2 linked regions of the Xenopus tropicalis genome follow. The protein of the gene in region 2 interacts with the protein of the main gene of each other region in a pairwise test. Links are inferred from orthologs where the notes say so. Each region holds a gene or a part of one and is shown on either strand. Other genes may lie near its edges.

Region 1 (4,291 bases), on a different chromosome or scaffold from region 2:
TAGCTCTGTGTGTCTTCACCCTTAGTCATATCATGTATTTATTTTAAACTCACAATCATGTGATTTCATGCTCACTTATGCAAACAATTAATAATCTATTCCTTTTGTTTAAATACAGTATTTTATATATATCTATATCTGTCAGGGGTTATGCAATCAGCTGTGCTGTTAAATGGGTGCCTGTTGCAAAAAAAAAAAAAAAATCACAGCTGACACTCAGGATTGGGGAAACAATAGTTTCCGGATATGTGTCTTTTTTAACCTCAACAACTACAGGGAACCACAGAAGGTGCTCTTACTTCTTTCGTGAGGTAGTACTGGAGCTCTGAGAAGAAGAGTATCAGCATGATAAGGCCACTGATCACTGTAACTAGAAACACAAAACAGGACAGGCATTAGGAAACTTCACACACACACACACACACACACACACACACACACACACACACACACACACACACACACACACACACACACACACACACACACACACACACATATATTAGTATAGTATAGTATTTATAGTATTCACACCCTCTGGAGGTTTAACAAAAATATCTCTGTGAATTGATTTAATACCAATGAAAACACAAATAAATGACTTATACCCCCTTTATGTCAGTATTTAGTAGGTCCAACCTTGAGTCTGTGTGGATTGGGGGACTCTATCAGCTTTAAACATCCGGCGCTACCACCTCCCCCCATTTATCTTTGCAAAACTGCTCAGGTTGCAGTGGTAATGTGTGACCACACATGGTGCCAGCCTACCCCACTGTACCCACATTATGGAGTCAGCCTTCTTCCTACCCAGTAATGACTAAGTGCCTCTGTCTATTAGGCTGACCCTCCATAACTAGCGGCAATCTATGAATCATGTGGCACTAAGCCGTCCCTGCCCAGACACATCAAACCATCCACTCTACTTAGTGATGCCAGTCTGTGCCAATCTGTACACTAGGCTATCTCTACCCAGTGACTCCATACCATCAAGACTTGGAATAATGGTAGTACCAGTCTATCAGTATATTAGTTTATAGTATTCTTTACAAATATCCCCACATTTGGTGCCAGCCTCTCTACCCAGTGATGCCAGTCTGTACACATGTGGTGCAAGGATCTCTCTACCCAGTGATGCCAGACTGTACACAGGTGGTGCAAGGATCTCTCTACCCAGTGATGCCAGTCTGTACACAGGTGGTGCCAGCCTTTCTACCCAGTGATGCCAGTCTGTACACAGGGGGTGCATGGATCTCTCTACCCAGTGGTGCCAGTCTGTACACAGGTGGTGCCAGCCTTTCTACCCAGTTATGCCAGTCTGTATACAGGGGGTGCAAGGATCTCTCTACCCAGTGATGCCAGTCTGTACACAGGTGGTGCAAGGATTACTCTGCCCAGTGATGCCAGTCTGTACACAGGGGGTGCAAGGATCTCTCTGCCCAGTGATGCCAGTCTGTACACAGGGGGTGCAAGGATCTCTCTGCCCAGTGATGCCAGTCTGTACACAGGGGGTGCAAGGATCTCTCTGCCCAGTGATGCCAGTCTTTACAGAGGTGGTGCAATGATCTCTCTGCCCAGTGATGCCAGTCTGTACAGAGGTGGTGCAATGATCTCTCTGCCCAGTGATGCCAGTCTGTACAGAGGTGGTGCAATAATCTCTCTGCCCAGTGATGCCAGTCTGTACAGAGGTGGTGCAATGATCTCTCTGCCCATTTATGCCAGTCTGTACAGAGGTGGTGCAATGATCTCTCTGCCCAGTGATGCCAGTCTGTACAGAGGTGGTGCAATGATCTCTCTGCCCAGTGATGCCAGTCTGTACAGAGGTGGTGCAATGATCTCTCTGCCCATTTATGCCAGTCTGTACAGAGGTGGTGCAAAAATCTCTACCCAGTGATGCCAGTCTGTACACAGGTGGTGAAGGATCTCTCTACCCAGTGATGCCAGTCTGTACACAGGTGGTGCAAGAAGCTCTCTGCCCAGTGATGCCAGTCTGTACACAGGTGGTGGCAGCCTCTCTACCCAGTGATGCCAGTCTGTACACAGGTGGTGGCAGCCTCTCTACCCAGTGATGCCAGTCTGTACAGAGGTGGTGCCAGCCTCTTTACCCAGTGATGCCAGCCTGTACACAGGTGGTGCCAGCCTCTCTACCCAGTGATGCCAGCCTGTACACAGGTGGTGGCAGCCTCTCTACCCAGTGATGCCAGTATGTACACAGGTGGTGCCAGCCTCTCTACCTAGTGATGCCAGTCCGTACACAAGTGGTGCCAGCCTCTTTACCCAGTGATGCCAGCCTGTACACAGGTGGTGCCAGCCTCTTTACCCAGTGATGCCAGCCTGTACACAGGTGGTGCCAGCCTCTTTACCCAGTGATGCCAGTCCGTACACAAGTGGTGCCAGCCTCTTTACCCAGTGATGCCAGCCTGTACACAGGTGGTGCCAGCCTCTCTACCCAGTGAATCCAATGCTTTCAGCTCTGCCATTAAATGAGTAGCAGCCTATTGTCTGCCCAGTGACGCCTGTCTGATCCACTGCCAACCTCCCTCTGTAAATCATGCTGTCCTGCCCTCTCCCGGTCCCAAGCTGTGTCCCTGCTGAGTTTGGCCACAAACAGCTTGTCACTCTGCGGTTTGCCCCATGCAACCCCTGTACATGCCCCCAGCTTACCTAATGCCCCTCCGCATGTTTTAACCCTGAAATCCTCCAAGGTTTTGGGATAGGCATCAAACTGCCGGAGCCGGTGCAGCGATTCCATCTTCCCCCGCCCCTCAGAGAACACAAACCTACTAGCTGGGCTCACTGCAGCGTCTGCTTCCTGTGCCTGGACTCATCCTGTGTGACATCAGCATCACGTGATTGGGAGAGCAGGAAGCGGCCAGAGAAAGGGGCGGGTATTTCAACCTGGCCGCTCTGTGACTGGAATGTCGACTCATACATAAACCAGACCACGCCCCCTAAGCTCCTATAGGCTTCTACTATTGTAGGGGGGGAGCAAAGCTGTGACAGGCTCTGTGACTGCTTCAGGGGGCTAACTACAGAGGGAGCCCTGGAACATAATAGAGGGGCAAGTAAAGCCCCAAAGGGGTAATTCACCTTTAAGCTAACTTTTAGTATATGAGAGAGTAACCTATTCTAAGCAACTTTTCAGTTGGTCTTCATTATTTATTTGCTACCATTTTTGAATCATTTGCCTTCTTCTGATAACTTTTTGCAGTTTTTAGATGGGGGGTCACTGACTCTGGCAACCAAAAAACTATTGCTCTGTGAGGCTCCAGTTTTATTCTTATTGTTACTTTGTGTGCCTTTCTTTTCTATTCAGTCCCTCTCCTATAGATATAATGGTTTCCCATCCAAACCACTCCCTGGCTGCTAAGGTAACGTGGACCCTAGCAACCAAATAACTGCTGAAGTTCCAGACTGGAGAGCTCCTGAACTGAAAATGAAATAACTACAAAAACTACAAATAAAAAAAATGAAGACCAATTTTAAATTGTCTCAGAATATCACTCTCTACCCCCCCCCCCCCCCATAAAAGAATGTTCTACAGGGGCCGGTGCCCACGTCAACCTCTCCAGCCTTCCCCTCCCTGTCTGCTTTCTCTATAATGAAGCCACTACTTAGGGGCCCTAAGTTGAATTTACTGTGGGGCTCAGTAACCTCTAGTTACACCACTGTACTGCTTGAATCAGTTTGTCACTGTTTTATGAGGCTGAGGTGCCCTGGGGCAAGTCCCTTTACCCCTGTTCTGCTTTATTGCTCCCCCACCTGTGCCCTCTTATTGCTGGCATTCTCTGCCAGTCTGGTGTTTCCTTTCAATGTTGCTGACTTCCTGATGATTAACCTGAGCCATTTCACATTTTCTTACTCTTCTGTAAATAAGAGAGATATTGAGCTTTGTATAAACAACCCCCTCCATTCAACCCCTTTATTGTGACTGTTTTGTTTACAGATTAATGGATGTCCATCATGCACTGGTATTCTTATTATCTAAACTGCAAGCCGCAGGCATGGAGTAGCTTTCCTTTCCCTGTTTGGCTGAAACACAGCTTGCTCCTGGGGTTTTAGGCAGCAGAAAACACAAATTCCGCAGATTTCATTCCCTTTAGGTGCAGGAAAAAAAGCCAAGTTGTTCCATTTGCATTGGGGATCTAGGATATTATAGGATGTGTGGCCTAAATACACATTAATCTCAACAAATCTCTGCAATACTAATATCAAGCCTGTTCATTATCTTACAGTGGCCACAACCTTAGGCTGGGGCAGTAACAGCACCCCGGCACCCCCAGTGGGGGGAACA
Region 2 (4,185 bases):
ATAACATTCTTTTGCATACCTGCCAGTCCACGAACCTTTGCTCCCATTCTCTCTCTGGTGTTCTTTTGCCCCCCAGGCCATTAAACTCTTTCCTCTCCCCACTGAAATAGGCGGGCATAGATTTGTTTAACTATATTTTATTGTGCTTTTTGTGAAGGAAGGATTATTTCCATCTTCGAGGCATAGACAGGGTCTCGGTGCCGCTCTTGGGTTACAAAGAATCAGTGCTCTGCAAGTCTCTATGCAGATAAACAGAAAGGACTGTAACACAACCGTCAGCAAAATAAAAACGACTGTAATCCAACACTCTTTGCAAATAAAAAACAATGGGGTACAACCCTGCAGGTAAGTACAGGTAGACAAGCTACAAGGAGCTATGATCTTTAGGGGAAGCTTTGCAGTAAAGTCCATCACCCTACAAGAGTTTATGGTAAGTGGTGCACACCCAGGCCTGGATTGGGATTCAAAGTAGGCCGAGGCATTTCAAGTACACAGAGGCCCAAAAAGCCCCCCCCCCCCCCCAGCCCAATAAATAGTGACTGTCTATGGCATCTTACAGCAGCCCCATCTGGCATTCGCCAAAATCCACAGATTGCCAGTCTGGGCCTGTGCACACCCTTCCTTTAATCTAATGCACTCCACTGGCATTATTAGGGGTCTCATTGTTTGGCAGTGTGAACAACACAATAATGACAATGAGGATGATCACAATTACAATTACAATTCCTCCAGCAATGATGTACCAGCGCCACTTCTGCCACCGGGTATGGCGTTCCACTGTCTGGGCCGTTTTCTGGAAGTTGCAGGCCTAAGTGCAAAAAAAAAAGTTGCTACTTTAAATATTTCTATAATATTCAGATATATTATATCCTTGTCATCCACAGTCTGGTCATTTTCTAGTGAAATTCAGAAAGCAGACATGCACGCTGCTGTGTGTTGATCTTGCATGTTAAATAAGGTAGGTGGGAATATGAAAGGTCTGCAACATGCACACTCCCGTTGTACCAACGTTATAAAGTTCTTTCCTTCCCACTCCCACCTACTCAATGTTTTCCTTTTTTCCTTGCATGGAGCGTCTGTCTCCCCCCACTCTTGCAGTTTCTCAAGGGGGTATGACTGGCCTGCTGCCAAAGGAATGTACTACATTGCTCAATCAAAACTAATCATACCAGTTCCCGGGCACACCAAATGGGTCTCCAATAGAAGAGCCTTGCACTCAGGCCCGGACTGACAATCTGTGGATTCAGGCAAATGCCAGAGGGGCTGCTGTAAGATTCCATAGACAGTCACTATTTATTGGGCTGGGGGGGGGCTGTTTGGGTCTCTGTGTACTTGAAACGTCAGGGTCTATTTGGAACCCCAGTCCAGACCTGCTTGCACTGGCCAAATCAGAATAGGCTTTTTAACTGAAATGAACCTGACAGATGAACTATATCCACATCAGGAAATGAAAGGAACACAGTTTTGGGGCCACAGAGTTACGCCTGGGAACTGAAGGCAGAACAAGACACTATGGGCCTGTTTCCCTAGTTGCATGGCAGTCCTAGACAGTGACAAGACAGTAACCTTAGCTATTATAAATATACATAATACATTTGGTTTCCTTCAAATTGTGTATCTATTACATGAGTTGTTTAACATGAGATTTTTTGTTTATTTTCCACCTGCAAGCAAAGCACTCCTGCTGCGAGTTGGCTCCCACCTGTGCTTTCATGGCTGCTTTGCACTGCTCTGAAGCAAGCAGGTAATGGCTGGGCATCAGAGAACTGTAATTCCAAATGTTATGCCCATCTGCCCAGCTATGTTGATGTTAGGGGAGCAAAACACTAACAGTGGGGTGGGTGGCAGCAAGCTCAGTTCTGTATGAATAATGACAGGGGTGTGGAAGGCGCTCAGCATACAAAGGGAGGGAAACTGGATACAAAACGTGAAGCAAGGGAATGAAAAGTGTGCCACAGCAGGCTGCACACAGGAAAGAGAAGTGTGTATGCCCACTGCATGTACGTACGGCCTGTCCCATGACATACCATGTTAAGCAAATCATTGGATCGATCCTCTAGGTCAGAGATCTTCCCTTCTCTCTCAATGACCGTGTCAACATTCTTTTTCATCAAGACTTTCACCTCCTCTGCGTTGCGCTGACATAATTCCAGGTTGTTGCTCGCCTGGGGTTGGAAAAACAGAGAGTGCTGTGAGGGTTCTAAGGAAGTCCATGATAATAGAACTATATCACACATGAGCACTGGCCTTTTGGGAGTAAAGGGAAACTGTACAATGCAGGTTTCTGTAAAAATATATCACATAAAACAGCCAATGTGTAATCCAATGTTTCATATAAAGAAAGGCTTTGCATGAAAAATATACTTTTCTAGTATTATGTACTATGGAATAATCCCATTTTACCAACTAAAGTCCTCCTTCTGGCTCATATAAGGAACTGTGCTCCCACACAAACACAGGCACACATACACCGCTAGGTTGTCAATGGACAGCAAACACACTACTTCCTGTTATGGTAGAACCTACATTATTTCCTGTCAGGTGGTCAGTGGGAGATGCCATTAAATGGCTGAGTATTGTGACGGTAAAGTTTTCCTTTTCCAAACACAGATGTTGTTGTAATGGCCCTTCCAGGAAAGAATAGCATTGTCTCATCATCCACTCCTACGGGATCGATGGTAAAATACGGTATTTTCCAAGAAGGCCCATAATGCCGATTGAAGGATTCTGTATAAATATTAAAGTGTGCATAGCAGGCAACTTGATGGCTGTTAAAGGAGACATATAGGATACACGGAAAAAACCTCTAATTTTGTAGGCAATAATGAATAATATAAGGTGCTTTTTTCACTTTAGGCTAAACATTAATCCTCTCTGTAAAAATGGCCCCTTTATTGGAGCTCCCTATAGATCCTATCAGTTCTCTGTCCATGTTTCAAATGAAGGGTGGGCGTGTCCTAACAGCCCCTGCCAGAAGCACAGCAGGAGGGGGAGAGCCAATCACAGCCCTGCACTCACGCAAGCAAAGAAAGGCTTCAGTTCCCTATCAGGTCAGCCTAGCTGCTGATTGGTTCCTATCCTACAATGCAGTGTACTGAGAGCCGCCGGCTCCCCAGCTCACCCAGAGAATTCAGCCAGCAGGAAGTGGCACAGATGGGCGGGACTAGTGGGGTTTTGGGGGAATTTCTCAATAAATCAGTCAGAAACACAACTTTTTTAAGCACAATCCTTCTATATCTAGGAGTATAATTCACTGGTACATTCATCATTTTTATACAATAAAAGCAGTAGTTTACCTTAAGGTTAACTTTTAGTATGTTATAGAATGGCCAGTTATTTCAAACTTTTCAAATGGTCTTCAAATTTAATATTTTTTATAGTTTTTGAATTATTTGCTTTCTTCCTCTGACTCTTTCCAGCTTTTAAATGCAACAATTGTTATTTTTTATTACTTATCTTTCTAAGTCCTCATATTTCTATTTCATATGTTTCATATTCCTGTTCCACTTCATATTCCTGTCTCTTATTCATACCACTGCCTAGTTCAGGGGTGGGCAAACTTTTTGGCTCACGGGCCATATTTACTTACCCCCGGGCCAGGGCGGGCAGGGCCAGGCCAGCGTTACGCCCCCTTAGTCTGTTTAATTCCGGCCCGCCAATGACACCAAGTCTCGCATGATGAGACTTGGCATCGTCGACGGGCCGGATTAAAAAGGCCACGGGGCCGGATGTGGCCCGCGGGCCGTAGTTTGCCCACCCCTGGCCTAGTTGCTAGGGTAATTTGGACCCTAACAACCAGATAGCTGCTGAAAATCCAAACTAAAGAGCAGCTGAATAAAAAGCTTGATAATTTACAAGCTGCATATAATAAAAAAAAGAAAAATGCACCATTAAATCTACACTGATTTTTAGATCACAAACCCATACCTCCCAACATCTGGAAATAAAAAAACCGAGACATAGTTAACCGCCACGCTAATTTTTGACTATTCCCACCTTTAGCCACAGTAATTATAAGATTGCTCCAATTTCTTCTCCCATTGAGACCCAGGTGACTGGTTGGCTAATAATTAGAGCCCTCTAGAGGGGTGAGCCCTGTTAACTTACTCATTTAGGGCCCCATACCCTTCAATGGTGGCCTGTGCCTAATAAGGATGGATTGTGCTGCAGGGCTATAACAGTTGC

The links. The genes of interacting proteins can lie anywhere in the genome.
Region 1: the proteins of vesicle-associated membrane protein 5-like (region 2) and ergic3 interact in binary tests that used the Homo sapiens proteins (3 or more experiments, as listed by UniProt). The link is inferred for Xenopus tropicalis from reciprocal best matches to the Homo sapiens genes VAMP5 and ERGIC3.

The regions. Positions count from the first base shown.
Region 1 is NC_030686.2:42,542,336-42,546,626, reverse strand, and holds the start of ergic3 (endoplasmic reticulum-Golgi intermediate compartment protein 3), read right to left. Parts: upstream 2,802-4,291; 5' UTR 2,750-2,801; coding exon 2,662-2,749; intron 371-2,661; coding exon 300-370; intron 1-299. UniProt on the Homo sapiens protein: Possible role in transport between endoplasmic reticulum and Golgi. Positively regulates trafficking of the secretory proteins SERPINA1/alpha1-antitrypsin and HP/haptoglobin.
Region 2 is NC_030679.2:125,676,241-125,680,425, reverse strand, and holds vesicle-associated membrane protein 5-like, read right to left. Parts: upstream 2,810-4,185; 5' UTR 2,659-2,809; coding exon 2,527-2,658; intron 2,166-2,526; coding exon 2,028-2,165; intron 809-2,027; coding exon 629-808; 3' UTR 118-628; downstream 1-117. UniProt on the Homo sapiens protein: May participate in trafficking events that are associated with myogenesis, such as myoblast fusion and/or GLUT4 trafficking.